Daphnia pulex: one gene and its partner. The main gene of each other region encodes a partner of the protein of the gene in region 2 in a complex. Links are inferred from orthologs where the notes say so. Each region holds a gene or a part of one and is shown on either strand. Other genes may lie near its edges.

The links.
Region 1: neuroblastoma-amplified sequence-like (region 2) and RAD50-interacting protein 1-like share a complex: the UniProt entries of both Homo sapiens proteins name them as parts of the NRZ complex. The link is inferred for Daphnia pulex from reciprocal best matches to the Homo sapiens genes NBAS and RINT1.

What each region holds. Positions count from the first base shown.
Region 1 is NC_060023.1:2,164,150-2,179,725, reverse strand, and holds RAD50-interacting protein 1-like, read left to right. Parts: upstream 1-8,257; 5' UTR 8,258-8,351; coding exon 8,352-8,492; intron 8,493-8,556; coding exon 8,557-8,798; intron 8,799-8,868; coding exon 8,869-9,042; intron 9,043-9,104; coding exon 9,105-9,251; intron 9,252-9,315; coding exon 9,316-9,785; intron 9,786-9,851; coding exon 9,852-10,207; intron 10,208-10,274; coding exon 10,275-10,407; intron 10,408-10,475; coding exon 10,476-10,596; intron 10,597-10,656; coding exon 10,657-10,712; intron 10,713-10,786; coding exon 10,787-10,896; intron 10,897-10,961; coding exon 10,962-11,095; intron 11,096-11,158; coding exon 11,159-11,369; 3' UTR 11,370-11,430; downstream 11,431-15,576. Other genes in the region: nose resistant to fluoxetine protein 6-like, read right to left, coding at 1-18, 88-251, 322-619, 686-1,214, 1,283-1,649; nose resistant to fluoxetine protein 6-like, read right to left, coding at 2,608-2,669, 2,742-3,002, 3,074-3,269, 3,346-3,481, 3,555-3,748, 3,819-3,978, 4,045-4,208, 4,263-4,551 and 2 more; uncharacterized protein LOC124197333, read left to right, coding at 6,776-6,833, 6,898-7,049, 7,116-7,473, 7,536-7,651, 7,715-7,918; hydroxylysine kinase-like, read left to right, coding at 11,896-12,054, 12,134-12,266, 12,333-12,407, 12,467-12,609, 12,684-12,897, 12,964-13,181, 13,243-13,431. UniProt on the Homo sapiens protein: Involved in regulation of membrane traffic between the Golgi and the endoplasmic reticulum (ER); the function is proposed to depend on its association in the NRZ complex which is believed to play a role in SNARE assembly at the ER.
Region 2 is NC_060028.1:6,562,887-6,578,342, forward strand, and holds the start of neuroblastoma-amplified sequence-like, read left to right. Parts: upstream 1-7,876; 5' UTR 7,877-8,132; coding exon 8,133-8,219; intron 8,220-8,293; coding exon 8,294-8,379; intron 8,380-8,448; coding exon 8,449-9,711; intron 9,712-9,770; coding exon 9,771-9,898; intron 9,899-9,976; coding exon 9,977-10,901; intron 10,902-10,966; coding exon 10,967-12,032; intron 12,033-12,105; coding exon 12,106-15,107; intron 15,108-15,282; coding exon 15,283-15,412; intron 15,413-15,456. UniProt on the Homo sapiens protein: Involved in Golgi-to-endoplasmic reticulum (ER) retrograde transport; the function is proposed to depend on its association in the NRZ complex which is believed to play a role in SNARE assembly at the ER. Required for normal embryonic development.

The DNA of each region.
Region 1 (15,576 bases), on a different chromosome or scaffold from region 2:
GCGTAAACTGGGGTCAATCTATAGATTCAAGTTAAAAATTGATTATTGTTACAAGTTCTGCTTTAAAAATCACTCCTGATGATCCACCTAAGGAAGCGATGGAGATAAAAGAGGGCGACATTGAATCGGCCTTTATTCCGGTCCAGTTCACGCATCAAGGAATAAGTGACGAGCAGGCCGCTCATCAAGAAAAATGTGTCAACTGCAATTGTGCCGTTGAGAACGCCGTGCAACTGCCACTCTAACGCATCCTAGAAAATAATTGTTACATAAGAGGTCCTTTATTTAATTCATTACTATACTCTACATTTCTTGTTATACCTTTAAGAATCCTAAAGGATTGTACATGGGACTGATAATAGCTAAATAGTACGTATGGTAAAGAACGATCCAGGTAGTGGACAACACTCGCATTCCGTTCAAACAGGACAGATTGTCAACAGCAGCTGATTTGGTTGACAGCAATTTCTTGCCGTTGGTTAGCATGGAGAAACACCGCAGGGCTTTCACAGGCAGTCCAACTTTTTTCGGCTGATCGGGTTGAATTTGGTAATAACTGAACCACACATCGTGTAGTGTAGCACAAAGAATCACCAAGCCAAGGATGCTTAATGTAACACTGTAAAATAAGAGAGACCATGGTTACATAATAAATTAGATAATCAGCACTTAAGCGGTAAATTACATCACAGCTATGTCGGGTCCGTCAAAATTCGGAGTGGCTTTGATCTGCTCGGCGGTGTAGCAATAATTATCGTCGTTGACGGCCACCATGGAAGTGTAGTAATTGGTGTCGTTGTAAGTCGTGTTATCTATCGCCCTACTTCCGATCAGTTGCGCAATGGACAAGCGGAAGTCTTTAGCGGTGCAGGAAGAAGGGATGCAATAATCAAGGGCTGCCAGGTATCTTGAGTTAAGATCGGTGTCTCTCACTTTGGGCTCTTTCAATTTCGGACCGTTGTAGAGCCATTCCAACACCTGTATGATTCCCACCCAATTTGTCCGCTGCATTTCGTCTCCTGTTACGGGATTCTCCTCTTCCAACTCTTCTGGCATTACCAGGTCCGAATCAAAGAACACCGTGCAGTACTTGCCCTGGAAGGATGTGTTGGTCCAATCGGCCTGGACGGCTAGACATTCGTCGAAAAGTCCTAGCCCGTGAAAGTTACCACTGTAATAAAGCGCTTCTGGGAATTTCCCCGTCGATTCATACACTGTGCAATACGTAGGAAAAAATTTTAATAAAATAAAATAAAATAAAAACATTTTGAAGAAGATTTACTTTGCTTGGCCCAGTCGACTCGAAGAAGGTAGGCTTGGTGGTAAGCGATGCTGTCGTTTAAACATTGCTCGCTGATGTTGGTGGCCACAAGTGTTGGGAAATTGGATCTTTTTGAAAGATTGCGCCGTTCCCGCGCAAAGAAGGCGACGATGGCATTAGTAACAATGTTACTAACGATGGACTTGTCGTCGTCATTTTGTTGATTTAAATAAAGGCTTGGATCAATTTCTGACAATTCTAAATTTTCGAGCTCCTCTGGAGAGATACCTAATTCGATTGAATCAAATCGACTAAGTTGATCTAGATTGCTCGTTAAAGAAATCACTTGGCCGGCCCCGGCAAGAACTAAAATAAAAAATAAAAACATGGCGTTGAGCTCACGCCTATAAGAACCTGTAATAACTAGGGCGCTATATACTAATTATAGTGTACTAGTATAAAAGGTTCACGCTCAACTGTTCGATAATGGACAATAATAATCAGTTTTATATGCTGTTGCGTTAACGAACTTCCTGATAAGGCACACACTATTACGTTTGTGATTATTGTGACCGGATGAAAGTTTCGTCATTGACACCGTTGGAGGTTATAGAGCAAAGAGTTGCCGCTCTTTTTGCGTTTTAAATTTTGAAATGAAATTGTCGCGCCTTATCCAAACAATTGGGAACGCTATCGACAAGGATAAAAAATTAATTTGACATGTGCGGACAAATAGTTTTATCTGTATTTGATGGTGCAAGAATGATTTGAAAACGTATGGACATCAAAGACGAAGGCTGCTTATTTACATACTTGTTACTTGAGACAATAAAAAAACGACCTTTCGCCATCATAAGCTCTAATAATGACCGTTATCCACTGAATGCACTTATAACAAAGGTCACCTTTACTTATCATTATTCAAATCTCATCTTGTTCTTTTTTTGATTTACTAATGATTAACTGGAGACGTGATCACGTGAACGGAACGTGACAATCAAAATCTAGTTAATTTACAATGTGAAAGTTGCAATATTCATTATAATGCGCACTAATGATAGGAGGCGTTTTCCCTTATTACGCAATGGACAGAATAATCAAAAATCGTCTACAGCTTGAAAAGAAAAGTGTTTACACTTATATGTTTATGATTTATGCAGGCATTACCGATTCTATCGGTATTATACTATATGCTATAATAATGTTATCTCTATTGTAATAGCGTGACGCAAGAATCAACATTACATTACATACTTTTGCAATCATTCATGTATACGTGTGTGTGTTCCATTAAAACCAATATTTCAACTAGCGGGTGATTTAAACGAATAACGTGGAGATTTAACTCAATCTTCTTCTCCGTTCGGCCTCTTTGGCTCAATTTCAATATCGACTGCCGCAGGTTTTTCTGTTTTTCATTGTCAAAAGGGAAAACAGATGAACGAAATGAACTTTGAAAAGGTAAAGTCAAATGACATACTTGTCCTGGTGGGATTGACGAGCAGCTTCTCCAAATTCAAAAGAGGAACCTCCACGACCAGGCAGATGGCGAATGCCATGAGAAAGACCATCAAGATAATGCCAAAGTAGTGCTCGGCGTGAGTGAACTTGGTGTAGTAATACGGCTTTCGGATGTAAGCGTGATAGACCAGCAAGTAGTTTTGATGAACTAGGTAGACGACATACGTCAAGCGGCCCAACGGAATAAATATCTTCCACGATAGAAAGCGGTTGACGTATCCTTTTTCACGTTCGATAATTTTAGGTTATTCTATAATAGACTTTAAAGTATTTAAATAATTAAATATATACCTCCGTAACCATGAATGCAAGCGAAAATAATCCAAGCGACGCAGGAGGCCCAGGCGATGCGGTGAAGTGATCCGTACGAGACGCGGACGAAATCGTTCATTTCCGGAACCTCGTACTCATTCAAATAAGGCACCATACCGTAAATAACGGCCAATCCAATCACGATGGTGAGGGTCCAGCCAACAGCCACCACAACCTAATTTTAAAAAATTAAAAAAGGTTTTATAAAAAAAAATAATGATATGGTTAAAAATTCACGCTAAAAAAGTTACCTTCTTAAGTTTAATCTGCGTGTTCTTTGTCAAGTGAAGTATCCATCCGAGTAAAATTCCAAGAATGTATGGAGGAAAACGAGTCCACAGTGAAGCATAATAGCCATAGAAGTAATACGGATTGTTCATGTCATTCCTATAATGTTTAATTAAATTGATTAGGTATAATCATCAGCCTAAAAATAGAAAAGAAAGTAAAAATAACATACTCTCTTGTGAAAAAACTCATAGCTGGAAGATCCCAAACAATGAAGATGGCAATAGTTCCACACAGAATTCCTACTATATTGAAAATGGCCCAGCTCAAGCCAATTTTTCTCCATCGCCAAAGAGGATAGATGAATAGCGGACTCAGTATAAACATTTGCATATCACATGCTAAATACCAGGTCTCACCCATACACTAAAACCGATAAGGTAATAATATTAAATCATTCAGGCCAAATTTAAAATAAGTGTTACTCCATTATTACATCAGCTCCCAAAAAGTTATTGATGTAAAGAAGATTGGTCCACCATCTCGAGCGACAAACAAGGCTATGATTCCGGACATTTTGCCAATTGGGTCCTGATCCGAGATAAGCCAACAGTGTGGCTATGAAGCCCAATATCACGGCGTAAACCGGCGTCAGTCTGTGTCAAATAGGAAAATCAATTAGTCCAGGATAAAATGGACCAAACAATAAAATGTATAGAGACCTGAGATATCGATGAAGATAAAAGAAGCCAACGTTAAAACGGCCTTTGTTTCGGTCCAGCTGGCGCATCAAGGAATAAGTGACGAGCAGGCCGCTCATCAGGAAAAACGTGTCGACTGAAACGGTGGCGTTCAGAACGCTATGAAGTTGCCATGTCAGTGCATCCTAAGAAATAATACTTTAATTATATGTATAATACGGACGGAATTCATTTATTACCTCAATTAATGTAAAAACGTTGTACATGGGATTGATAATTGCTTGATAGTACGTGTGATAGAGAACGATCCAGGTGGTTGACAGGACTCTGATTCCATTCAAACAGGCCAAGTTGTCGACGGCGGCCGATTTGGTGGACAACAATTTCTTGCCGTTGGTGAGCATGGAGAAACAATGCAATGCTTTCACGACCATTTTCTTCGGCTGGACAGGACGATTTTGATAATGCAGCCATAATTCGTGCGATGTGGCCAAAAGAACAACCAATCCAAGTAAACTCAGTACGACACTTAATTTCAATTAGAGAGATATTACATCGATGAATGATTGAAAATTAATTGAAAATATACTATGACTTACACAACAGTAATATCGGCTCCGTTATACTTGGGTGGGGCGTGGATCTTCTCTGTGGTGTAGCAATAATTCTCGTCGTTGATGGTGACCATGGAAGTGTAGTAGAAATTCCCATCGTACGTCGTGTTCCCTATGACTCTGCTCCCCACCAATTGGGCGACAGACGAGCGGAAGTCTTGAGCGGAGCACGAAGAAGGTATGCAATAATCGAGGGCCATTAAATGTTTCGAATTGGGATCGCTGCTTCTCATTTTGGGCTCTTTCAATCTCGGGCCGTTGTAGAGCAACTCCAAGCCTTGCAGAATCCCCACCCAATTGTTTCGCTGCATCTCATTATTCTCTGAATTTTTCTTGGTTGGACTAGTCTCTTCCAGCTCCCATGGCATTACTAACGCTGAATCGAAGAACACCGTACAATACTGACCGTGGAATGGCATTTCCGCCCAGTATCCTACCGATAAACACTCGTCGAAAAGTCCTAGACCGTGCAAATTGCCACTGCCGTGCCAGGCTTCCGGGAGTTTGCCGGTAGATTCAAACACTGCACATATCAAATTATAAGGTTTTTAAGCATTTCGCGGGTGAATGTTGAATTTGATTTGAATTATAATTACTTTTCTTAGCCCAGTCGACTCTAAGGAGATAGGCTTGGTGATAGGTGACACTGTCCTTGTGGCACTGCTCGCTGATATTGGTGGCCACAAGGGTCGGGAAGTTGGACGACTTGGTGATGTTGTGTTGCTCACGAGCGAGTAACGCGATGATGGCTTGAGTGATGATGTTGGTGGCGATCGACTTTCCATCACGTTGTTGGTTCTTATTAATTTTTTCCTGTGGAATTCCGTCTGACGAGACTGAAGAATTGTGATGTAATTCTCGGTTGTTAATTAAGGAAGAAGTCGTTTTTCCAAAACCGACTAATAACACTAAAAAAATTGGGAAATGCATATTCCCGTAATCGATTTGAACGGCCCGCTCAACCTTTTTGGATTACCAACGCTTGACCGCTGTCTACTGACTGAGTTGAGACCAAAATAAGCTTTTGTTTATGTATCGAAACGCAGACGCTGATAAACATTTGTTTCCGGTTGATCTTCGGTGTCTGGTAATCACTTCCTTTGTGGTTACTAGCTAGCTGTTGCTTGTGACAGAGTTTTGTGCAACGAACGAATTATTTTGCTAAGAATTGGATGAAAGATGATCAACTTTTTTCCAACTTTTTATCGACGGTCAAACGTTTGTTCCGTTGATTGCGTCGAGTCTCGTTAAATAAACACACACATTAGCAAGTTAAGTTAAGACAAGGAAATATCTATATAGAGTAGATATGGAAATCAATATAGAGATGAACATTTAACACTATTTCCCAATTTCCAAGGTGTGCCACGAACCGCAAGTATATAAAATACCAAGTGCTCCAGTGTAACTTGAGAGTGACTATGTTATACACCCAGCTGGAGCTTTGGGTTTTCTATACATAATATTAGGTAATAAGCAAACAGAAAAAGAAAACATGTCAGCTGTGATGACGGCCATGAGGAAGCAAATAATAAATACATTCATTTTCGTGACAGCGCTGCAAGCGCGTTCTTTTTTTGTAGCTTGTTCCATCACTTAGTATGCACGGAAATTCATAATAACCAGCAAAAGAGGGAGTGACGCAACCGGTCTCTAACGGGTAATGGTGTAAATAAATAATTGATTGATGTATTGATTAATTTCCCATATACTTTATTTTGTGGCCGAGTGTCTCAAACTTTTTACTGTAATCTAAAGGGCGAGTATTTTCCACTGGATTTTAAAATCTACTTATTAATCTTACTAATTATTTTATCTTCCACGATCTTCTACAAGTTATCTGGATACAGTTTGTATTGAGTATTGACATTTGAATTTTCTCAAAGATTTGAACCGGGCAACCGCCACCGGCGGTCCGCGAGGCTGCGGGAAAGAACTGGCTTCTTTAAAGGTTGGCCCATCTTCTTTTCCTCTCCTTTCAAAATTTCTTGGCGTTGTAGTTGCCGCTAGATCTCTGCTGTCTCTCTGTACACCTGAATCTCCAAAAAGGCAAAAAGCTAACTTGCTTTCAGTGATTTATATTCAAAATTAGAATTCCTCGTTAAACGCTACAGTTTTCAGAGCGAACTTTATAAAATATGGCTCCAGTTAGAGTTCCAGAACTAGCACTAGAAACTGCAAAAGAAGAGCTTAAAGGTATCTTTGTGTCCAGAAATAAAGTTAAAATGGAATCAGTCTTGCTCTAATGATTTGAATTTAGCTTTTGTAGCGAAACCAGCGAATAGAGATCGAGAGAAATGGAAGGGATTTGCAATCATTAATGCAGATGAGAATATGATGCAAAATATGGAGTCTGCTACCCAGTTACAAGAATCACTGCTTTCGGTCATGGAAACCAAAGTACGATTACCAGTAAGACAAACAGTGATAACCTTTCCTATTAATGTTTAAATTGACAAGCAATTATTACATTTGCAGTGCATAGTGTGCCAAGGTCAAAAAGGTGCTATATTTTGTAGAATAACATATACGTCTGCCCTAAATGCCAAAGAAAAACTTGCAAACTCCCGATTTAAGCCCCCATTCTATTTTGTGGTTTTTCCAAATGAAACTGTTTTCTATTGCATTAAAAAATCCATCCCTGATATGATCGCCGACACCCTGATCAAAGTGTATGGAGCAACTCGATTGAGAATACTTCCTCTTGAAGGCAATGATTTCCGTTCCCTAAGACAACTGCATTTAAACAAGATTAGCAAAGGAAAGATCTGTAGAAGACCTGTCAAAACTACACATCCAATCGATGCAGACGTCGAGATGAAAGAATCTCATTCGGGTAATTTGTCATTATTCTGGAAGCCAATTTTTTGAGACATAATTCTTGTTGTTTGATTGCAGATTTAAAAGAAGACATAGAAGATGAAGATAGACCATGGAAGAAAAGAAAAGATGAATACTATTCTGAGCATTTCTATCCTGAGAAGGATCCTGTCATAACCAAATTCACTGTTTCGGTAAAATTTTGTTTCTCTTTCTAGATCCAGTTCACGCCTAATTTTTTATTTTCTATTGCTTAGTCTTCGTCCAAGTTCTCCGGTACCCGGACGACTTCGAAACTTAAGTGCGACCTTAAAGTAACCTTACGATCAGACAACCTCCTCGAGTTTTTTAACTATTCATTGGACAAGGGAATTCTCACGTACCCTTTAAACCCGTTTTTTGAAAACATCGTTAATTTAGGGCGCACCTCAATTTCAACAAAGGATATAGAAGAAAACTAGACTGTAATTGTTGCTACATTTTTCATTTTCAAACTGTATGATACGGTTATTACGGTAAATTTAAATGATTTTTAAATACACTAAATTTGAATTCATTCTATTATCGAAAAGTGTTTTGGTAGAGTGATTGTTTCGGACTTTCAGTCTCGTCTCGCTCGATCATAAGTTATGACAAAGTAAGAGAGTAAAAAGCATAATTATTCATAATTTTCATCAGCTACTGGATTTTCATGGATTTCCGCTTATTCTCTGCTTATGACTATGAATTATGAGTTAATGAGTTGTGTTCAATTTATCTTGCAACCTCGCGATTTATTCTGACACATAAACAAGCAGACAGTTTTCAATAGCAAATTGTAGTGTGGCTGTGGCAGCCAGTGAGCAGCAAACAAGTTGTGTAAACAAACTTAATAAATTACACATATTTATTGAGATGACGGAGGAAAACCCGGATTTGCAAAGAAAAATTGTAAAAGCACTCAATGAAGAAATTGGATCAGATTTAAAACAACTTCACAAACTCAAAGAACTGTATGATGAAACCAAAACCATACAAAATGATCTGAAAGAGAAAGTAAAATAATCTTGCTTCACCTGTTTTTCCAACATCTATTTATCTAATATTTATCTATTTTCAGCTTTCATTAGTTAGCACAGAAGCTCCAACAAAAGTTCAAAACACCTTGAGGGAGGTTGAAGAGCTCTCAAAAAAACTAGTGACTCTTGAAAAACAATACTTGGACTTGAAAGTTGAAGCCCAATCACACTTAACATCTGTCGACACATTTCTAGGAAATTTCAGCAGTCAACTACAAGAAATAGAAAGACTTGAACTGGAATATTCCTACCTGAAATGCATCAAAACTGTGGAAGATCTAAGGTATTCAATTTAATAAACATATAAACCCCATCATAAAGTATTAATCATGTTTCATCACTTATGATATTAGTGAGAAAATCCGACAGAGTTTACAGTCTAACCTAGATTTGGAAGCTGTTGAGTTGTACAACAAACTCGTACAACACAACTGCATGCTGGAAACATCTCAGTGTGAAAATCTAAAAAAGTTTGTTAATGATACTGTAATTTTCTGGTTTGAGATGATCAAGGAAAAACTAAAAAAGTATAGCCCATTTCAATTAAAGATTTATTATACACGTTAAAAAATGTTCTTTTGAAAAACAGGGAAATGCAAGATACTCTTAAACTGATACAGTGGCCTTTGATTTCAACGAACCAGGAGGTTTTAAAAACTGTCCCTCCACCTGATGTGATGAGCAAGTTTCAGTTACAATTTCAGTGCCTTGGCAAACTGGAAATCCCATCCAAACAGTCAGTTCTACACTGGCCCAAGTACAAGTTTGCGGATACATTTTGAATTCTTTATTTCTTTCAGGTTGGAAGATCCAAGTGTGGCAGATCATGTGATTTTGTCTAGATTTACTCCTTCCAGCCTAGCCATCCAAGAATTAATATATCCTCTATTGAAAAGATTTTTATATCATTTTGGTGGTAATCGACCAACCAACCGTCGTGACAAACCCGAGTGGTATATGCGCCAGATTCTTCAGTGGATTGGAGATCACGCTAAATTCCTCGAAACAAACGTTCAACCCTTGTATGCACCTAATGATGCTTTAACGGATTTTTCACGAGGACTCGTTCAACTTGCTGTCGAGAAACTAGTAAAGGACACACCGGTTATCCTTGAGGATGAAACCATTTTGGCACACACTATCGGTGAAGTACTCAGCTTTGAGAGTGAACTTCGATCCTCTTACAACTACCCATCCTCACAGCCGTCAGCTTTACTTGTTCTCTCTCAGCCCCAGTTTTTTACTCGATGGATTGCCTTAGAAAGAGCTTGTAAGTTGACTAATGAGAATTTCCTCGCATTCTACTTAAACTTCAATCATTCTGTTTCATTCATAGTCGCCGTAGAAAAAATGGACATCCTTTTGATTAGCGATAAAGCCTGGACTTGCGTCTCTGGAGACAATTCCGAGGCAGAAGACGAAGTTCGATTAACTGAGTGTGGCGAAGGATTTCTCCAAATGCTGCTGGCCATTACGGATCGTTACAAGATCTTACCCCAACCCGGTCATAAGTTGCAGTTTTTGGATTTACAGCTTGAACTGCTGGACGAGTTCCGTATTCGGTTGCTACAGTTAGCCCGTCAAGACAAATTTCACGAATTATTCGCCAATCGATCATCGCCCAATATCAGCCCTATCCTGAACACGCTGACGGCTGTTATTAATGTTCTAGATGACTGGACTGATTTGCCGGTAATAATTTATCCAAATTATGAATTATCGTATAATAATCGTTTATGTTTCTCTTTTGTGATGCAAGTTCTTCGTTCAACTGCATAGTTATAAAGTCCAGACGGAAAATATTGAACGTTTAGCTGCAGAAGCTATTAGCAATGATGAGGCCTCGCTTCCTTGGCTTCGTACTCAAGCTCATACTAATCGAGACGAAGAAGGTAAACAAATAGTCTTTTCAATATTATTTTTCCGAACAAAACATTATTCCGAATTTGATCATCAACAGGATCGGTATTTGACAGCATCATTGAGCTTTTAAAGAGAATGCAGGAAGATTTGCTGCGCCGTCTGGTAGAGGCGGTGATGCTCGAAGTGAAAGCCAAATCGCAACCCTACAGACTTGACAAGTAAGTAATTGAAATAATTTTTTGAATTGCCTTATTATAAAAAATGGAATTGTCCGGTAGGTGGGCATCACTCCCCAATCCGGATGAATTCATTCAACCCAGCCTATCGCCAACAGGTCAGTATTTAGATTCGTAGTTTTTATTTGATAATCCGTTTTATTATTTGACGTCTTTGTTCTATAATAAATAGGATCTGCAATGCTCCAGGCAGTAGCGATTGGCTTGTTGTGGCTTAAGGATTCCCTGGCATCTACTATGTTTGTCGAAGCGTGGCAGAAATTGGCCTCTCAAGTGAACGACGTATGAAATGACTGTGCCTGTTTTTATTCAATCAGAAATTTTAACGAATCAAACATTAATTCTAGTTCCTCTTGGAAGAGCTGATCCTACAGCGGCAGTTTAATGAAGGAGGCGCTTCTCAACTTTGCTTCGACATCCAGCAGAATCTGATACCGCTTTTTGGGCAATACACCACAAAACCGGAGATTTACTTTAAAGAGTACGTGTCTGTCCGTTATATTACTTTGCATAACTTCTTAATTGTATTTTATTTTGATAACAGGCTTAAAGATGCATGCACATTATTGCGGCTTCCGCGTCCCATCACTCTTTTGTTACTGGATACTCTCTCCGTAGCTATACAGGATAGTGAAAGCACATCTGTCAAATCAAATCGGGCCACATTCAACGGCAAACAAGCGCTGAAAGACCAAGGAATTAAAAAATTATCCGTTGAAGATTCTTTGAGCGTTCTCCGTCGGAGAATTTTGTAAAGGAGGTTTTACAAATTGGGATGTTAATACAAGTCTAATGAATGTTTTAGACTGCTGGGTAGAGACGGCCACTGTGAGTTGTGATTATAGCGGGAAAAAAGCGGTGAAAAGGGGCAAAATCAATTCTATTGTTGGAATTTTGCGTCGTGGGAGATGTTCAAGGCCGGTATAAAGTGCGTTAGTAGTCCTAGTGCGCGAGAGCCCAGCAACCTGAGTACGGTGCTGGAGGCAGTTCCAACTGATCGAAGTCCTTGAAAATTTGACGGAGGGGTAGGGCCTTATCGGTCCAATCGTAAGATAATTTTACATTTGAATGGTGAAGTGTCTAACATGCAGAGTGGGCTCTCGGTCAAAATCTAAAGTTTTCTCAAGGTTCGGACACACCGATTATCGCCCTTTTTTTTATCGCAGTACCACTTTAGTTTCATTTAGTTGTTGTTTTTCAGTTGTTACTATTTGTTTCTAAAATTTTGTTGCCTAGTGACTGTTTTTCAAAAAAGTAATTTTCGTCGTCGACACATTCGCAATGGAAAAGGAAGGTGAAATCCTACTCAAACCCGGTCAACAGATAAAACCTCACGTTCCAAATGAAGTGGTTCATCAACTTGTTTTTAAATTGTACAATCTTGAAGTGGCTTCAGTAAAAGAATTGAATAGTTACGACGATAAAAACTTCCACGTCACGGTAATGTTTAGTCCATTTTTTAGCTCTCTAGGTTTTATATAAAAATAACTTAAAGCATTTAAAGTTTTCTTTCATTTAGGTTAAAAGTGACAGTGCCTTGCCTGATATTCACGATGCATGCCCTCACGGATATGTTTTGAAAGTCCTGAATTCCCTTGATTCTAAAGCGTACAACTTGATTGACGCACAGAATGAAATGATGCTTTATTTGGGTATGTTAACCTGTTTTCTTTAGTAGACATTCAGAGTTTATTTATTTCAATGAATGTTTTGTTTAGCTAAGACGGGGTTGCCTTGTCCAAGACCGGTGAAAAATATTGACGGAAAGAGCATGTCGTTGGAGCATTTGAAAGGTAATACTATTGATGGAGTTACATGAGAATTTATACAAATGCTATTATTCGTCTCACAGATGCACAGAATCAGTCTACGGATCAATATATCGTGCGGCTTCTGTCCTTTGTGCCCGGTAAAATTTTGTTTAGCGTTCCTTATACAAAGGAATTGTTTTTTCAAGTCGGAGAGTTGGTGGCTAAAACAGATCTCGCTTTGATGGTATTTAATTTGATATATTTACTTATTTCATCTATATTAAAACTATACAAGGAAATGTCACTAATTCTTTACAGGGATTCAAACATGATGGTCTCAAAGGAGTTGATCGCATATGGAATTTGATTGCCGTTCCAAAGCTTGTAGACTTTGTTTATGTGATTGCAGACGAACAAAAACATTCACTGTCGATGGAAGTCATTGAGAATTTCAAGTCCAATGTTATTCCATTTCTACAAGAGCTTGAGAGTGGCCCGATTCATGGAGATTTCAACGAACAAAATATACTGGGTAATTTATTAAAGAGAAATCTGCGTATTCGAAAAGCGCTGGATTTAATTATTTCTTACTTTGCAGTGGAAGCAGATAAAGAGGATCCGGAAAAATATTCTATATCCGGCATGCTGGATTTTGGAGATGTACATTTTGGCTATTACCTTTTTGATATCGCTATTGCTATTTGTTACATGATGATCGAGTGTAAATCAATGGACATGTTGGATGCGCCAGGCCATGTCTTGGCGGGTTACAATCGCGTTCGCCCGATCCCGCAAAAGGAATTTGACTTGTTAAAGGTATTTGGCTCTCAACATTTTTAGAAAATCAGTAAATGCTAACAAATTGGTTTCTTTATAGGATTGCATTTCAGCCAGATTTAGTCAGTCTCTGGTTTTAGGCGCTTACTCTTATTCCCAAAATCCGGATCCCTATCTTTTAACTACGGCGCAAAGAGGTTGGCAATGTCTCAAGACGCTCTGGGATTGTCCGAAAGGTGAACTTTACAAACGATGGAACGAAATTATAAATAGTTATGCTAATAATTAATCTCGCAATTTTATACAAACACTTTGGAAGTTTGTGAAAGCGTTGAAAGTTCCTGACTTAAAGCAACTTAGACATATCCAATAAAAGAGAAAATTAAAAGAAAGTAAAAGTTCCAATTTTTTTTAAATTAAAATTAATTAAAATTAATTTGTGCCAACTTTATTTAACGACTTAAATTTTCCAACGGAAAGAATATTCTACATTTTAATGTTACTATACTTGGACCTAGGACGAGTTTCAGAACAGACAGACAGACTACATGATCCATTTTCAAAACGCCGGTTTAGTCCCAAATAATATTTACAATTTTTTCAACGATTCAAACGAAAAGTAGCATAAAAACTATTGAACAATGTTCGAAAAACATTTATGCGAGTGACTAAATAATATTGAATTACGTTACATTAATTGTAATTAAATAAAATGATAAAAAAAGTGTCCTTTGGCTTTTGCCATCGCAGCCCGAGATTGCCGGGCCTATATAAGTTGCAAGGTCGACCACTAGATTTACAACATTTCTCTGAGTTGAATAAGTCAAAGAAGCAGCTAGCTGAAAAATGGGTTTCCTGGATTTTTTGTCATCAGTCTTTTTGAAGAAGGAACCCAGTCCTTCTACATTCGTTAAGAGGCAACAGCAAGCGCCATTGCAATACCCCAACAACGACCAATCACGTCATTCTGATATGTACGCATATCAGAACCAGAATACGAATGAGATGAATGCATACCAACTGAACTGGACGTACGAGGAGCCGAAGCAGCACCAACAGCCGCCACAAAACGGTCAGCAGTACTACGAACAAAACCCAAACGACCAAACTCCGTATTTTCAATATCTGCCGTCATATTATGATCCGGAGCCACCTATTCCCAGTGCGGAACCCAGTAGGTGTAACGCTTGTCCACAAATCGCTGCTAGAATCCAACAGCTGGAAGACCGGATACAAACATCTTGGCAGAATAATCGTGAGCTTTGGAAGCAGCTCAACCAAATCCAAAAGGAGAAAATCCAAATGGAGGCGTCAGTTAATAAAGAATCATTTAATCCCTATCGCATTGTTAAGAATGATCGTTTGAAAAGAGTAACACTCCCTTTTTGCTCATCAGCCGACATTCCGGACGAGATTAAGAATGATCATCGGTCTTGGGACGACAATTACGCAAATCAACCAAATGTCACTTCAGTCAGGATTCCCTCCAAACCCGACATGAGTCATCCAAAGAAGTCCGGTGTCCATCCGTTGAACAATAACAGCAAGCCTCCGCAAAATATGCCGAATAATCCTGTACAAAAACCGCAGAATTATTACAAACCTCCCCATGTCATCTGGGATAATCAACGGAAATTATGGATGGATGTCAATAATCCCCGAGCTGATTTTGCTGAGCCAAGTCAGCAACAGTTCTTGGCACTTTTGGCGACACAGGCGACTGAAAAGAAATGGAATGAATTTATTCAGCGGACTTCTTCCGGAACGCAATCGGTCGAGCCAAACTGCTCAAATCAAATGACTGGGCACTTTCCCCCCACGCCAATGGCATCGATGTCTTCGAATTTCAGATTCAACTACGAAGTGGATGCTTCTCATACCTTTCAGTCGCATTACAGCGAAGACGTTTAAAACGAAAGGATCGTTTTTTTGGATTGAAAATGAATAGTATGTTGTTCTTGATCGCAGTTCCGAATGTCTTTTGTTTTTCATTGCCCTTGTGGTTCAATACTGTTCTGTCAGTTGCTGATACACATAAATAAATAATAAAAAAAACTTTTGCATTCTTTTAATTAATTATTTATTTAGTCGAGTTATCGTGATAATTTCTTAACATAAACGAAGTTTTTAGCGTATGACGCGCCACCAAACGGAACCGGACTAAGGCACGTTCCAGAGTTCCACTTCGTTGTCTGCTGTGCTATGGGGCATGGGCTGACCGCTGACTGTGAATGATTTAGCCATGGATTAAGCTTGTTTTTCAACCAATTTCGGATACTTTAAGCCCTCGGTAGGTATAATAGATTTTATTTTATGGTCCCCTTAAGCTAAACTCATGTTAAATTGCAATTGATTAGGATAAACAGATGGCCGGAATTATCTGACCATCACATGAATAGTATAGTTGACACTGAAGCAATAAAAGTTGGAACTA
Region 2 (15,456 bases):
TACATATATTTTCTATTCATTATTTGAATACTAGTTATTATTTTATGGGCAATTTGGCAATTTCGTGTTCACTCGTCAGCGTTCAATTGCATCATATCTGTGGAGCTGTTAGAGAAGCCACTAGTACAGAATACTGTTTATTTTTTCTGGTTATACTGGCCAGGATGTTACAATAGCAATAACTACTTTTTTTTTTGGGGGGGGGGGGATTTTGCTGCTTATGTGGTTCCATGTTCGACATTTGACATGAACATCCTGGCTCCTCCCAGCGCGGGTGGATCCAGATCTCTGGGATTGGGAACGTTTAGATACCATTAAAGCCAACGACAATCTTTGTTTGGATTTCAAAACTTCTCGATTGTCGGCCAGGTTGAAGGCTAATCAAGCTGTTTGTAATTCTGATTCGTTGCATGTTATGAAATTCCGTGAAGAGTTTGTGAGAAATACAAATATTCTAACACACACTAATGCTTGTACTGTTCCATGTAATACTCAAACAATAGACGTATTTTAAAAATGAGAATTCATAACTTGATACGCTTTGCGCAAAAAATTGAATATTTTTTAATTCATATTTATATTCCGCGTGAAAAGCTGCAGGCATTATTGTTGTTTTTTATTTCGGAAGCCTGCATTGGGCATTAGCGTGAAAATCGTCCGACGTGAATTACAAGTACACGCAATTAAAATAAACTGTATTTTGACTCATCACCTGTTTTAAAAAGACACCAATATCCGATTCACACAATCGGTCTTTATTCTTCTTATTGAGCAGCATACAGAGGCTGTTGCCAGATCTGGCTTTTAAAGCGGCGGCTGTATACTAACAGATGACCACTCCCCTTCCGTTAACCTTCGTTGCTGCTGGAGGGAAGAAAGCAACATTACGTAATGATTGATTCCCCCCACCGCCTCCTCCGCCGCTTTTGTGACTGGAACCAGAACGTAAACTGTCGGAAGTCGAGGATCGCGTGTGGAGTTAAACTGGTGACTATCAACCGGCAAAACTGGGCGGTCGTGATTGAACGAGTCAACATTTATTCAATATTTTATATTTTACCTATTAATATGAAACTGTGTTAAGATCGTCCATCGATCGAATTGAAGCGACCGAACATTCACGTTGTTCTTCTTTCCTCCCCTTTCCTATATTTATATTGTGTTTTCTTTATTTTTTTTTTATTTTAGAGAAGAGCGTTGGAACCGATGTCAATTGAACCCCCACGAGTAAAAAAGTTTAGAATGGATCGTTTACGTGGTGGACTCAAAGCACGACTTATAAAAGAATTTGAAAAGAAACAACGTTAAAATTTTGTAAACAAATTGCCTCTTAGTGAAGCCGTCATCCATCGCGAGGGGGGAGTCATAAATTATGAATGACTTGAATATCTTGGAGATTCGGCTGTCGGTAAGCTTGAAAACCACGGTATAGTAGTTCTAAGGTAGGCGGACTCCATTCTCGGAAAAATTTTCACACATCCTCCTTTATGGATCTTCTGATTAAGCCTGCCTACTTTTTAGAACTATTATACCATCCATTAACTTTAAAAAATTATTTTTAGATTTGGTAGTATCTACTTATCTTTTTGACAAATCTGAAGCGTCAACCCAATCGCATTTGTAAAGATTTCACTCGGCTATTACGTTTAACGAATCTTTCGGCGTTTTAGCTGTGAAATTCTGGAAAAGTTCCTTCCTGGAGTGCACTCAACCAAACAACTAAACCAAATCAACGAATTCGTACTGAACCAAATAAATAAAGGAGTCCCATCCATTCGCAAGCAGAGTAAGAAAGAAGAGATGCAAGAAGTTAGGGGACAGCGATGAATTTTCCAACTTCTCTTGTTAAAAAAAACTATTGTGAATTGTGAACTTTGAAATCTTTTAAGTTAACAATTTTAACTTTTCATAAATTAACAAACAGTCGTACCTTTTTAAACAAGCAAAGTTTTAAAATTTATCCGTCGTGTAACACATTTACCCCATTTCACCTCACTCCCCCCCCCCCCCACATAAAATTGATATCCAGAATTTCAAGGGGAAATGTAAAATAATTATAATCTTTCAGTTTTTTTTTAGATTGAAAGGTACCACCGTGAATCTGAATGCAACGGCAGAATCGCTCCTGGTGCCAGGTGTTCTTGCCGACCTATTTGAATCTGTGGGAGGTGCCATCTACAAAAACTCGGGCTTTTCCAGGAAAGCTGTTCTGAAATCATACACCCTATTTCTCGTTCATGCATATGGTTACGACCCTGTGGCGCACCAGCGCCAGATGAAGAGAATCAGGAGCCCTGATTTTATTTAGTTATTCGTTGGTATAATTGCTCTAAGGTAGGCGGACTTCATCAGAAGTTCCCTATAGGATTCATTTTGAGATAAGAGTCCGCCTACCTTAGAATTATTATACCGTAGTTTACTTAATGCTTACCGACAATTGAATCCCCAAGGAATTCAGAGCGTTCGTAGTTTATGATACCGCCCACGCGATGTATTACGCTTTCGCTAAGAAGCCATTTGTTGACGAAACTGTGGCGTAGAATTCTTTCAAACCCTTTGATTTCTGTAAGTATAAGTCCCCCTCTTAAACGATCCAATCTGTATTTGGAGGTCGGTGGTGGCTTGTAGAGGTATATAGGCTCCAAAGCTCTTCTCTAAAATAAAAATAAAGAAAACAAAAATTAAATACAGGAAAAAGTGTTAGGGGAGGCAAGAAGAACAGTGCCCAGTGATAGTTAAAATAAAAAATATTTTGAAAATCTGCTTTTATTTATTCATACATGTTTTTTTTTTATTGAAAAGAAAACAGAAATTAAATACAGGAAAAAGTGTTAGGGGAGGAAAGAAAAACAGTGCCACATTGATAGTTAAAATAAAAAATATTTTGAAAATCTGCTTTTATTTATTCATACATGTTTTTTTTTTTATTGCAGGCCATCAAATGTACATATTTGGTTGATGAACTCACGAATGAACAACGGGTGACGTAACTACGGGACAAAGGAATACCGCGGGGTGCTAACACTGTAAAATTGGTGGGCCAAGGGAAAGGACCCAGATAGCACACTGCAGTCCCATAGACGCACAAAACACGTCACTTTGAGACGTCTGAGATGTACTTGGCACATAGCAGATTCCCAAGTTTACATTCCTAGGACGTCTTTTACGTATGGCCAATGTCCGCTTCGCCGAGATCTCATAGCGGTCCTTATCCCGTCCCATTGGATGGACTTTAGACGTACTTGGGACGGAAAAAGGATCTCAAGAAGTCATTAATAATAAATCTTTTTCTGGACTCTGAATTTATTTCCTTTTTTCTTTACTCTTCTTTTTCTTATGAGTGTTTGCTGTGCCGACATTTTTTCACGAACGCTGATCCGGATATCCGGACACAGTTTATTTGTCAGAGTATGTAAAGGGTTACCAGGCACACATTTTAAATTGCCCGCATAGGAACAGAAGAATTGAAGAAATAATGGAATCTGAACCGGGGATCGAACCCGGAACGTCGTGGTGAGAAGCCAGTACTATACAGATGGGCCACGAAATCATGTATTAACTATGAATATAAAGCTAATAATAAGATTTTAGAATCAAACTTTGCCGCGAAAAGACAAAGACAGTTTCTCCGAAATTTTCTAAGTGTCGAGAAGGAGCCAAAAAATAAAAACGGGACGCATCAGAGACTTCTACGAGAGGGAGTAAAAAATGACGTATCCGACAAGATGAAAATGAGTAACGTGTTCAAATAAGGGCTCGCAATGGGACATATTAGAGATTCCCCTGTGCCCACCGCACCATCCGCACGGCTTTGGTCCCGCCTTGGGACAAGAATTCCTATCTGGGGAGGCATCTAGGGGACTCCAATTTGTCAAGATATCGCTCGGCAATGACTTGCAATGATTCATTTGGCGTTTTTGCTGTGAAATTCGGCTTTACAAGTTCCTGCGTGGAATGCCAACTGAACCACAGAAACAATTCAACGAATTTTCTGAGAACCAACTAAAGGAGGGACATCCATTTCCAGCAGAGTAAGGGAGAAGAGATGAAAGAAACTCTGCTTATGAATTAGGAGAAAATATAAACTAATTTTCTTTCAGTTTTTTTTTTTTTTGACTAAAAGCAACTCCTGAGAATGGTAATGCGATAACCGAATGTCTCCTGGTGCCCAGTGTTTTAGCCGATCTATTCGAAGAAGTGGCTGGTGCCATTTACAAAGATTCAGGATATTCCAGGAAAGCAGTGGTGAAATCATTTACCCCTTTTATTTAACAGGCTTACGGTAACAAATAAAAATTTTATTCCCAGCGTTGGCGCCCACTCCCAATTCTCTTTATCCGGGACTGGTGGACCACAAACCAAATGCAAAAAAAAACTTTTCATAAAAAATGTTTTCTATTCTAGATAATTTTGCACTCCCAGCCGATGAGATTCTACTCGAACTGAAGCCATTGATGAAATCCATGAAAAAAAACAATTTTTTTATGTTTTTGCATGCTATTTGTATCATTTAAAATTAATTGATTTTATATTTAGAATTTACTCCCTCGAAAATGGACCACTTTCGTCCACAATATCGATTTATAAAAAGATTACATAGGAGCTGCCACTTCGAAAAGGAACGGAAAACTGCCGGCCTATAAGTTGGCTGTTGGCAGTTAGCGAACTTGCTGTGTAACGCTAAAAAGCGACCAAATTTTCAACGTTTTATTGATGTTACCCGTTTCATAACAACAAATTCGCCATTATTTTCCAAATTGTTCTTGAAAAAGTGTTTTCTTGTTTGTACCTAATTGACTATACGAAGAATATACACAGTCTTATTTGTCGAGATTCCGCTCAGCTATTACCTACAATGACTCTTTCTGCGTTTTGGCTGTTTAATATTGCTTATACAAGTTCCTGTATGGAATGTAGTTATAAGCCATGATGTGGATAGGACATATTAGATATAATGCGAATCCTGATGACAGTGTGGATATATGGCAAGGGCACAAGGCCCGGCGTGGATACAAGTATTAGGGTAGACAAGAGATCAGGTTACGTGTGGATATAGGGTACGGTGTGAGTCCTTAAATAATTGTGGCCACAGGTGTAATTATGGATCATGTAGCTGGGACCACGGCTTGGACAGGATGTAATGTTGCCAAGTCCCGGCGTGAAAAAAATACATGGCGTAGATTTCGTGGTTGGATAAGAGAAAACTGTGTGGCCATCAATCATGTTGTTGTACCTAAGTTTGGATTTAAGTTAGGATAAGGATACAATCCATTGCGTGGATTTAGATAATGGTGTGAATAAAAGCAATGAAGTGGAAATAAGCCGTAGATGGGACACAATATAAGTCAGCTTGGGAGAGAAGGTTAGATAACAAAAACATTAACCCCGAGTTTAATTTACGAGAAAATTCTTTTATATTTTAACATCTTATTTACATTCGCTTTATCAATAATAAGGATTTAAGTTTGGATTTAAGTTAGGGTAAGGATACAATCCATTGCGTGGATTTAGATCATGGTGTGGATAAAAGCAATGAAGTGGAAATAAGCCGTAGATGGGACACAATACAAGTCAGCTTGGGAGAGAAGGTTAGATAACAAAAACATTGACCCCGAGTTTAATTTATGAGAAATTGCTTTTATTTTTTAACATCTTGTTTACATTTGCTTTATCAATAATTTTTTTAAATAATTAATAATATTTTGCTTACAAATTCGGGTGTAGAAAAAAAAAGTTTTATGTGACACCCTTTTCCGTGTGAATAGAGCCCTCACAACAGTGTTGCACGATTTGTTTAATTCAATCGTGCAACACTGTAGTGGGGGCTTTATTCATAGGGAAAAGGGTGTCACATAAAACTTTTTTAGTAAGCAAAATTAAGTAAAAATTCAAGGGACACGGGTAAGGGCTATATAAAATTATAGTATAAAATCTAAAAATCCATATGAATTACATATACCCGAAAATGCGTGTGTGTGAAGCACGTAATCAGTAGGAAAACGGGGAACGACTAATTGCCTTGTTAACCCGTACGGCCTGACCCCTACCGGCATGCAGAAGCATCGCTTCAGGGGGGTTATAGGGGAGTTCAGTCTTTCCTTCGTAGTCTATGTGGAAACGTTAAAAAGAGCCATCTAGGCTCTCAAAAGTAGCTGAGCTTAGTAGCTGACACACTCACTAGAGGCGCTTTTTAAAGTTTCGGAAATTTTAAAAATTTTAAATTTTCCAAATCTGCTTAGGGCATGGACTACTCTAATTAAGGACGGGACTCTTCGCCTATCTCGCCGTGTTAAAGCTAGTCGGGTGGGCTATTTTCATGAGAAAATAAATAAAAAATATCAATAAATTCAGTTTTTTTCGCTTATTCTAACTATGTATATAAATCTTAGTGAAATAAACTAATCAATAAGATATTGTAATTTTACTTTCGGCAGTAAGGGTAAAAGTGGGAAACACCGGTGCCCTCTAGCAACAAAGCACCCTAATCTCTTGCCAATATAACCTACAAGGTAAAGGAGAGATAGGCAGCTATTTCAGAGGAATTACCCGAAGGGTTACTGGTCAAAGTTTCGTTTGCAGTATGGTTTACATTGGTATGGTTTTTACATTGGTATGGTTTTTACATGGGCACCCTCAGTTCTCGTAACACTACACAGATGGCTTTTTGCAGTTCTCGTAACACTACACAGATGGCTTTTTGCAGTTATCGTAACACTATATAGATGGATGCACTAGTTTTTGGCAATTATTGATTGCAATCAACAATTTAATTGCATTTCAATGGGAGTAATCGGTAGCTTACAACTTTTTACATCTATTTTGAAAATTTGGCTGCAATCGATTGAGGCGTTTGATCAAACGGAGTTCTTGTTACTTTTTGACAGAATTTCAATAGCTGTTACAGCAGACGATAATACAGAGACATGTGACAGCTGACAGGGATATAAACGTAACGTGACAATCGACTTGAAGCCCGTATGATAAAATAAAATTGATAGTCAAAGTAGTAGTACTGTGTTCTCTGTCGGTTCTAGTTCAAAACGAGTGTTATTATTTCGTAATCACTAACTATAGCGACAATAGCTGTTGGAGTAATATTTTACGATAGAATATAAATAACTGTATGTTATCATTTAAACGCTATCAATCTCCAGTAAAAGAAGTGCTGATAGGTAGTTACTTACATTTAATTTTAACAAGATCCGGTGTGACGTGGGGTGGCGGGGCGAAGCCTCCGCCACACCAAAGTCACGCCTTACCCTTACGCCGCGCCATATCATATTAAGTTTTTTGGAGTTGAATTTTTATTTAATGTTTGGATAGAAACATGCGGAAATATGCTTTTCATCTCTTTCTCGATTTCTGCATATTAAATTTCTCCGGAAACTAAGGGCATAACATTTTTGTTTTAAATATTATTAATTAATCTTAATAATAGGCCTACCTTTATAACAGAATATTATTATTATTCTATAACTATTCTATAGCTCTGCCTTTATAAAACTATACCAATACAGCAATACTATTACTATACCAACTAGTATACCCTTAACATTCCCTTCGGGTACCTTGCGGCGTACGTACGCTGCCTACAGTAGAGATAAGAGAGTGGTCTCTCTTATATACGCAATGGGTATCTGCTTTTAAACTTACAAGAGCTTACGAGGTTTGGTTCCTAGATGGCACCGGTGTTTCCCACTATTTCAATTTTCCAATAAAGAATATCAAAATATCTCTATAAAGATAAATTTTAGGTATAGGAACATTAGGTAATTAAATATTAATTTTCTAATTCCGATTCCGATTCTCCCGAAAAAAAATTTACAGGGCCGACATTGGAAATGCCGAAGAGTCCCGTCCTTAATTAGAGTAGTCCATGCTCTTACTCGGCTTTGTATCGGCAACACTGCTTAAAAAGTAGTTCGTGACTTCGTGTCTTCGTGAGTTTTGTCGGCTGCTATGTTTCCTCTTATGTCTTGTCACTGTTGTCAGTATTTTTTGCTTGCTAGCTACAGCCGTATATACCTGCGTTCTTGTTTACTTCTAAAGATTAACCGAACCGGCTAACCACTATGGCAAATTGAATAAAGATTCATACTTCACAAGCAAGAAAAGTAATTTGTTTCGCTGAAATGGATGAAATCGCTGACAGTTTAGAAGATAGCATTCTTTATGAACTGCTCGTTTTCTCAGAATGGTCACAGGAGCAAGATGTCATTGTAGGTTTATTATGTTCATATTAAATTTTATTTTTCTAACTCACTTTATTATTATTATTTTTTGTTATCTTCAGAATAAAATTGTTGATGAATCTTATTTGAGTTGGAGAAGTATCCTAAAATACTTAAAAAAGAGTTCTGGTGCTTATTATGTTGCTGAGTAAGTAGTTTCTGCTTTCATCCACACATGATAAATGCAGTAAAACTATATAAATTTTCATCTTTGCAGTTGGTTAAACCAGCAACTACCATGGCTGTTCGCGGTTGGTTCTAATGGTAAAGCAGTTGCTATCCTTCAAGATAGTGCTTTGGAAATCCGAACCTCCAGAGATAATTATTCTGTACCAATTGGAAAAAATTTTGTCTCCAAAGATCAATTCCCGCAATGGAGAAAGTTACAGTGGAGCCCCGATGGAACCCTGTTGGCCGTGGCACACAGTAGTGGATCAATTGATGTTTACGACTTGCTGGCAACACATCTGTTTGTCATTCCTCCTCCCAAAGAAACTATTTTGCAAGGCTCCTCAAATGAAGTCCCAGCCAATGTGATAGCAGGGCTGGCATTTGTTGACACCAGAACCAAAAATGCTCACTGGTCGTACGAACTCATATGTTTGGATCACTTTGGCCAACTAAGTGCTTTTTTTGTATCACCTACCCAAGGCTTTAAGGAGAGTCACACGTTTTCGTTTGCGTCACACGTGCCTTATGGTGTAACGGCGTTCTGTGCAGATCAGTCGCGTAATTTATTGGTTTTAGCCTCCCCAGTTATTACGTCGTGTGAGCCTAACAATTCTGGAAACAATCAAGGAGTAACCGGAGCCAAATACGGTTTAACATCATGGAGAATAATTGATGAACTCCCTTTCTACATTCAAGCGCCTATTGAGACAAATCCGTTACCGAATTTATGGTTACAGTCATTAAAGAAGAAACAATATGGAAACACTGTTGTTAAACTAAGTTCTTCGGCGGATGGTTCTTCTCTAGCAGCTATTCATCTTTCCGGAGCTATTTCAGTTTGGTCGATTCCTGCCTTGAATTGTCAACAGTTCTGGCCACTGGATCGCCAGCCGGGCTTTGATGAACTAAATCCTGGGATTCTTCAACTACCCGCTCATCGCCGTGTACGCAGCCCTACTTTCCAAAATCCATTTAAATTCCATCCTGTTGATGTTAATTGGTGGTCAGCAAATTCACTGGTCATAGCCCGTTGCTCAGGAGCCGTTTCTGTGTGCGCTGCAGCGGATCTTCGAAACAAACTTGGCTCTTCGGCAGAATTCTTTGAAGGTTCTCCGCGTATCAGTCCAGCATTTGACAGTACTTTCTTAGGCCTGGAATGTGAAGTGAAAGTAAAGCGGAAACGACTTCAGCCAACTACCGACGATACAGCAGTATCTGATTATGCCGACTATGAATTCGAAGACGATCCGAGCGGAGATGAAGAGAAAACATTCATGGCCCAAAGAGCCGTGCGCTCACTCCTTTATTGGTTTGTCTAATATGACCATTTATTTTACACCTCGTAATAATCTTTTATGTTTTTCGCAGGGTTACGGACAGTGAGCGTTTCCGACCACCCAGGAAACGCCCTAAACTCCTCACAAGGACGTATCGTCTTTTAGGTTTTAAGCGAACAACTCCGGATGAGCTCTACATATGGAAATTAGACGCTGAAGGTTAATTTCCGAGTTTTAAATAAAATTTATCGTTTTAACATTGAATGAGAATCTAAAAGATATATTTTATTTGTGTAGAATATGGCGAAGCCTTGGCCCTGGCTCGAGTATATGGTCTAGATTGCGATCTGGTGTATCAAAGACAATGGAGAAATGCACCTGCTACTATTGCAACCATCCACGATTATCTGAGCAAAGTGACCAAACGCAACTGGGTACTTCGTGAATGTCTAGAACGTGTTCCCAGCGATGTGGATGCAGCCCGCGAACTCCTACTGTATGGATTGAAAAACACTGATCTAGCCGTAGTTGTGGACATAGAGGAAGGAGGTCGTAATAAGCCACCTTGGGGTCCGATTGAGTTCCAAGAAACGGAATCTGAAATGTTGAAAAAAGAAGAAGAGCAAAGAAGAAAGTGGCTGGCACAGATCGATTTTGATAATTTGACAGTGCAGCAAAAAATGCTGATATCAACACGACGTCGTTTGCTACAGTTTCTCGATCGATTGTCCATCTACGAGATGATCTTGGGGGGACCTCATGCCGCAGGGCAGCGCTTTGACCCATCTTTTTTCGAAACTTTTCGGTCTCAAACAGCATTGGAATCGACTGTAGGTTTTGCCCGGCAGGGTGAATGGCAAGCCGTCGCCGTTATGTTCACTTTCAATGGACCCCAAACGCTACCTCACCGATTGGCCGTCTGTTCTTGCTTCCCTGAAACCGTTCCGCCTTTTGAATACCGCTCCGTTTTACCAGAATGTGATGTCGGCGAGGAAGTTTTCTTATGGGAGCAACAGGAACTACGAAAGTCAGATTGGTGTGAATGCCCAGCCGCTCGGATGGCTGTTGATGTGGATCGTCAGTTGGAGATAGAAACCGTTGATCAATTCTACAGTGAAGAAGCCAAACAATTAAAACCTTTCTTCTCTATGGGAATTGTACTAACTACCGACCTTGTTAGTCTATGGTATCGAACACGAGCTGCGGACATCGAAAAACAAAGGTTTGTTTTATTTAATTTTAATAAATACTGATAATATTGATGACAACGTTTGTTATATTTGACAGCATGTTGGTGGAGAACGCGTTGGATTTCATCAAACTTGGCCTAGAAAGAAACGTGCCTCACTTGGAACGCATCCATCATCAGTTATTGACGCTGGAAACACTTGTCTACGACCTCCAGCAAGAACACCTCAACTTGGAAAGGCTCGACGCCATGAGCGAGCTGAGCGTTTGTCAACTAATCATGGGTGGCTGTGATGTTGATTCTTTTTTACCGAAACTTCATCGTTGGTTGATGCCTTATTTACGTCGCCTGGATACTCTACAGCCTGGTCGTATCAAGGAGCTATTACGCGGCCTACTCGTAGTCAGGAGTCAAGAAAATCTGGACTGGGCACTGCAGGTTTGTGCCAATTCGAAGACGGATCAGGCCAGCCCGATTGTCGTCGACGCAAGTTTCTTGATATCGCTAGCTCTGGAATGCATCTACGCCTGCCAGAAGAACGACCAACTTGAAGTGGCCATGAAAATTTACGATTGCTTACCTGAGCGACCAACTGGCTCCAAAGCAGATCCGCTACTAACCCATCTACACGATCAGTTGGATCAGCTCCAATCTCATTTAGAGGCAGCTGACATTCTCGAAAATCACGACGTGGCCATAACACCTGCGACTATATTGGCCAAGCAGAACGATGTGGAGCAGCTTGAACAACTTTTCGTCCGTTTGACCAGGACGGCTTTAAGAAAGGGCGATCCATCGACCGAAAATCGATGGAAAGAATTGTTGGAAGATATGCTGGAGTTGCAGCGTAAAGTCTTCTGTTGTATCAGCCCCCAACTGTGCTACGAAATTCTCGTTGGTAGCTTACTTTCTTCGGCTAAAAAGGAGAACATCGTTTCTGCTGGTTTGATGCTGCAGCTTCATCCAAATATCGATTCCCACACATCACAGAATCACATCAGTTCAACGTCGAAAATTCCATTTGGCCGAAGCAAAGAATTAATTCTCCAAGCAGCTGAAGAGTACATTAATTCTTCTGAAAACCTTTCGGATCCCAGCTTAGACTTAGCGAGCTATTGTCTCAATTTAGTGACAATTGACGACGAAACTATTCAAGAAGAAAAGGTGTTAATTTGTCATTTCTTGTTTTATCAAGTGTGACTTATGTCTTATGATTATTATTTTTTTTTCGCCCTAGGATCTAATTGGCGCTATTCAGCTTCTGTACGATTATGGATTGGATATGCCACCGCTCAAGATAAGGTTGTCGCGAAATCGCCTTTTTCTCATTGATCAAGTTTTGAAACAAGCTAACAAAGCTTACAAGAACTCGTCTAGACTCCTCCGACTTGGACATCTACTCAGAGCTTGCAAAGGAAGTTCGTTAACTAATAATGAAGATCGTCGAAAAGAACTAGAAGGGCATATATATGTCCGAATTGCTGAAACGGCAATCATAAAACAAGATCTTGAAGTAGCTGGCCAAATGTGTGGAAAACTTCGTTTAGCCAATCATGCAGTCGGATGGAAGGTCTGCAGCCAACTAGCCAAGCTTGATGAAGTGACCGATTTGAGTATGAGGATAGAATTCATCTCCTTCTCTTTAGTCTATTGCCCAGCTGAATGCATCGAAGAATTGCTACAATTGCAATGGAAGTTGGAACAAAAACAACTTGAACAGGAATGCAAAAAACAAATTAAAATGTACATGGATTACGAAAACGGCAATGATAATTTCTTGAAGTTGGTGTATCCAAAATCAGTCGAAGACTATCGTCAAGAGATGGATAAAAATAATCAGATTCCAACTACCACAACTACCAGTGGTGGAAGCGTGTCGAAGCAGGTGTTGCAGACAACTGCGGAAACGACAAAGCAATTGGTGAATGTCGTCAAGAGCAGCTTGAAACTAAAAGAAGCTCGGCCAGCAGAAAATGGAGCAAGAAAAACGCCCACCCCTAGAACATCAGAAGATAATAAAGAATGCATCCGTTGGGGCTTATCCGTGTTCTATTGGGACGTCTGGTGCAACAAAAGGATAGAACTTCACGAGAGTCAATTGGGTGCTTCCTATCGGCTTTTTTCTCTGCCCGAGATGGTCAATAGTGAACTTAATCTTCTCATGTGGTCCTGGCGAATGCTGGTGCTGGACAGCCTGGAAAAACCTTACGTCAAAAGCCGTTCAAGAGACGACATATTATCCAAGTTAGCCGAATGTCTATTTCCTTCTGATTGTTTGCTGGCCTTGGGCCATCTATTGGATCTAGAGGCGACCGAAGAAGCATGGGAGCCTTTAACGCGTTTACCCAGCACAGAGATCACTCTGCAGATGGCTGCCTATTATTTCTCTCTACGCATGATGCGTTTCTCTCAGGACGAATCCTTGGGTGCTGATGCCAACATGGTCACCGCCCGTCCGCGCACTCTGATCCATCGTTGCCTGACCCTTCCCGAGACAGGTTTGTCGAAAGATCAGGTTGTGTGCCGCAACCTTCTTAAACGAGCTCTACGACTTCTAGCCGATGTGTCTGAAGCGCAGCAACTACGTCGATTGGACGGAGGAGTCGATATTAATCGATTCACGACGGACGATATCTACAAGCGAGATACAATTGTAGGTCTTGCCATCACAACTGATTCCGGCGTCTATTCAGCAGCCGTACGCTTGGCAGCACATTATGGCGTTTCTGAATGGGAAGTGACATTTTCTCATCTGGCAGCTGTGTTCGCTGAAGAGAAGATTGCTCCAAGCTATATCGTGAAACACATGGACGAATACCGCATACGCGACATCTTATTCAATGACCCACAAACACTCGGGGCGAAGATGGTGGACGTAATCTATCCGAGTATTTCGGGTCGAGATTATGGTCGGCTAGTCCTTTTCTTCCAGTTACTCAATTCGAACCCAACGACTGCTGCATTCACGGAGCCCCCCGCTCCTGTATACGTTCAAATTCTGCGTAAGCTGGAATCGATTAAGGGTGTTGACGTGAAAAAGCTGACGCGATCCGTTCAAGGTTTTGTGCAAGAGATTGAGAGCGTCGCCACTGCGGAAAACGTTGGCAAACTAGCCAAGCTCGCACAACTGATATCGTCTTCGGTCAAAGGAATGTCGCCGGGCGTAAGCCAGGCTACCGTGCATTCAATCTGGATTCGGAAATATTTTTTCGCGTTGGCCGATGAAGGCAAAAGTGTGGCGGTCTCCGATTGGCTTGATCGATTTGAAAGTTGCAAGACTCACGTCACCAAGCTAAATTCAGAAGAGTTCTTAAACCTTGTCGATGGCCTTTGCTTCTCCGATCGTGCCTTGGACTTGCTGACGCTTGATATCCGGACAGAAATTTGTCGTCGATGTCTGAAAATCGCCAAAGAGCGCGGCAAAAGCAAAGCTTCCAGCGACGCTCTAGTCTCGGACGACTACCAGGCCCGCATGGAAAAGTGGGCGGAGCATTTGGAACGTTTGAGGAGTGACGAGTACATCCAGATCCGCACGGAAGTTGTCTCATCAGCAGGAAGTCAATTTTGGAGGGAGTTTGAAAAGAGTCGGGCGGAAGAGACCGCCTTGCATCGGGTGCTGTTACGGATTCTGGTGGAGAGGCAGCCCTTGTCCGTCGTTCGACTACTCATTGGCATTTTCCCGCCGGATTTTGGTTCATCGCCGGAAGACGTTCTTGTTGATGCCATTCGCTACGTCCTGGAATTCCTCCGCCGATCCGTCGAAGTTGACAAAGGCGAACACGAGTTGGCCGGCAAAGATGCAATGCAGGTGTTACTACATCTGTTGACTCAGGTCGGTGAAGTTCTGGATGGCCATGAAGAGACTGGTCTCCTCAGTCGCTTGGATATTGGTGAAATGATGAGCCAGTTTTACGAGGACGACACAATTGACGTTCAGGTCCGCCTCCAACTTATGTTGATGCTGCAAACACTTCCGGTAGACTTTGTCGGTCTATCTGAATCCGGAAGCCGTGTTCAATGGCTCCGCTCTTTGGCACTGATCCAACAGTCTTGGACATCAAACCAAGACGATACAGCTGATCCCCAAAATGTTATCCACCGTCTGAGAGAAGAGGACCTGAGGAGCGTCGAGCAACGCCGAAATATTTTCGATCGGCTCTTGGAGATGAGCCACACCATCGCTCATTTGACGTCGCTGGCCAAGTTGCTCAATTTCTGGCCGCCGTTTGCATCTGAAAGGTGCGTTAATATTCAAGCTACCGCATCGATTTTTCTTCTTTTCCCGTCAGTTTTCCTGGTTTTTGTATAACAATAGATAATCCATATGTTTGGTTCAGATCATCTGCTCACCTGCCCTTTAGCCCTTGACAATAATCTCATGACAGAGTCTTTTTTTTTGGTAAACATTGTTCAGTGATCCGCATTCTACTCCGTGGGTTGTACTTTGGACGGCGATGAGAAAGCTGACGTCCTCCCTGGACGACGCATCCGTATTGGAATCCCTAAAGCTTGCCTTGGAACAGAAACCGCCCTTGTCTGACGAAGTAAGTGAGCAGTCTGTTTTGTTTGTTTTCTTTTTACTATCTCA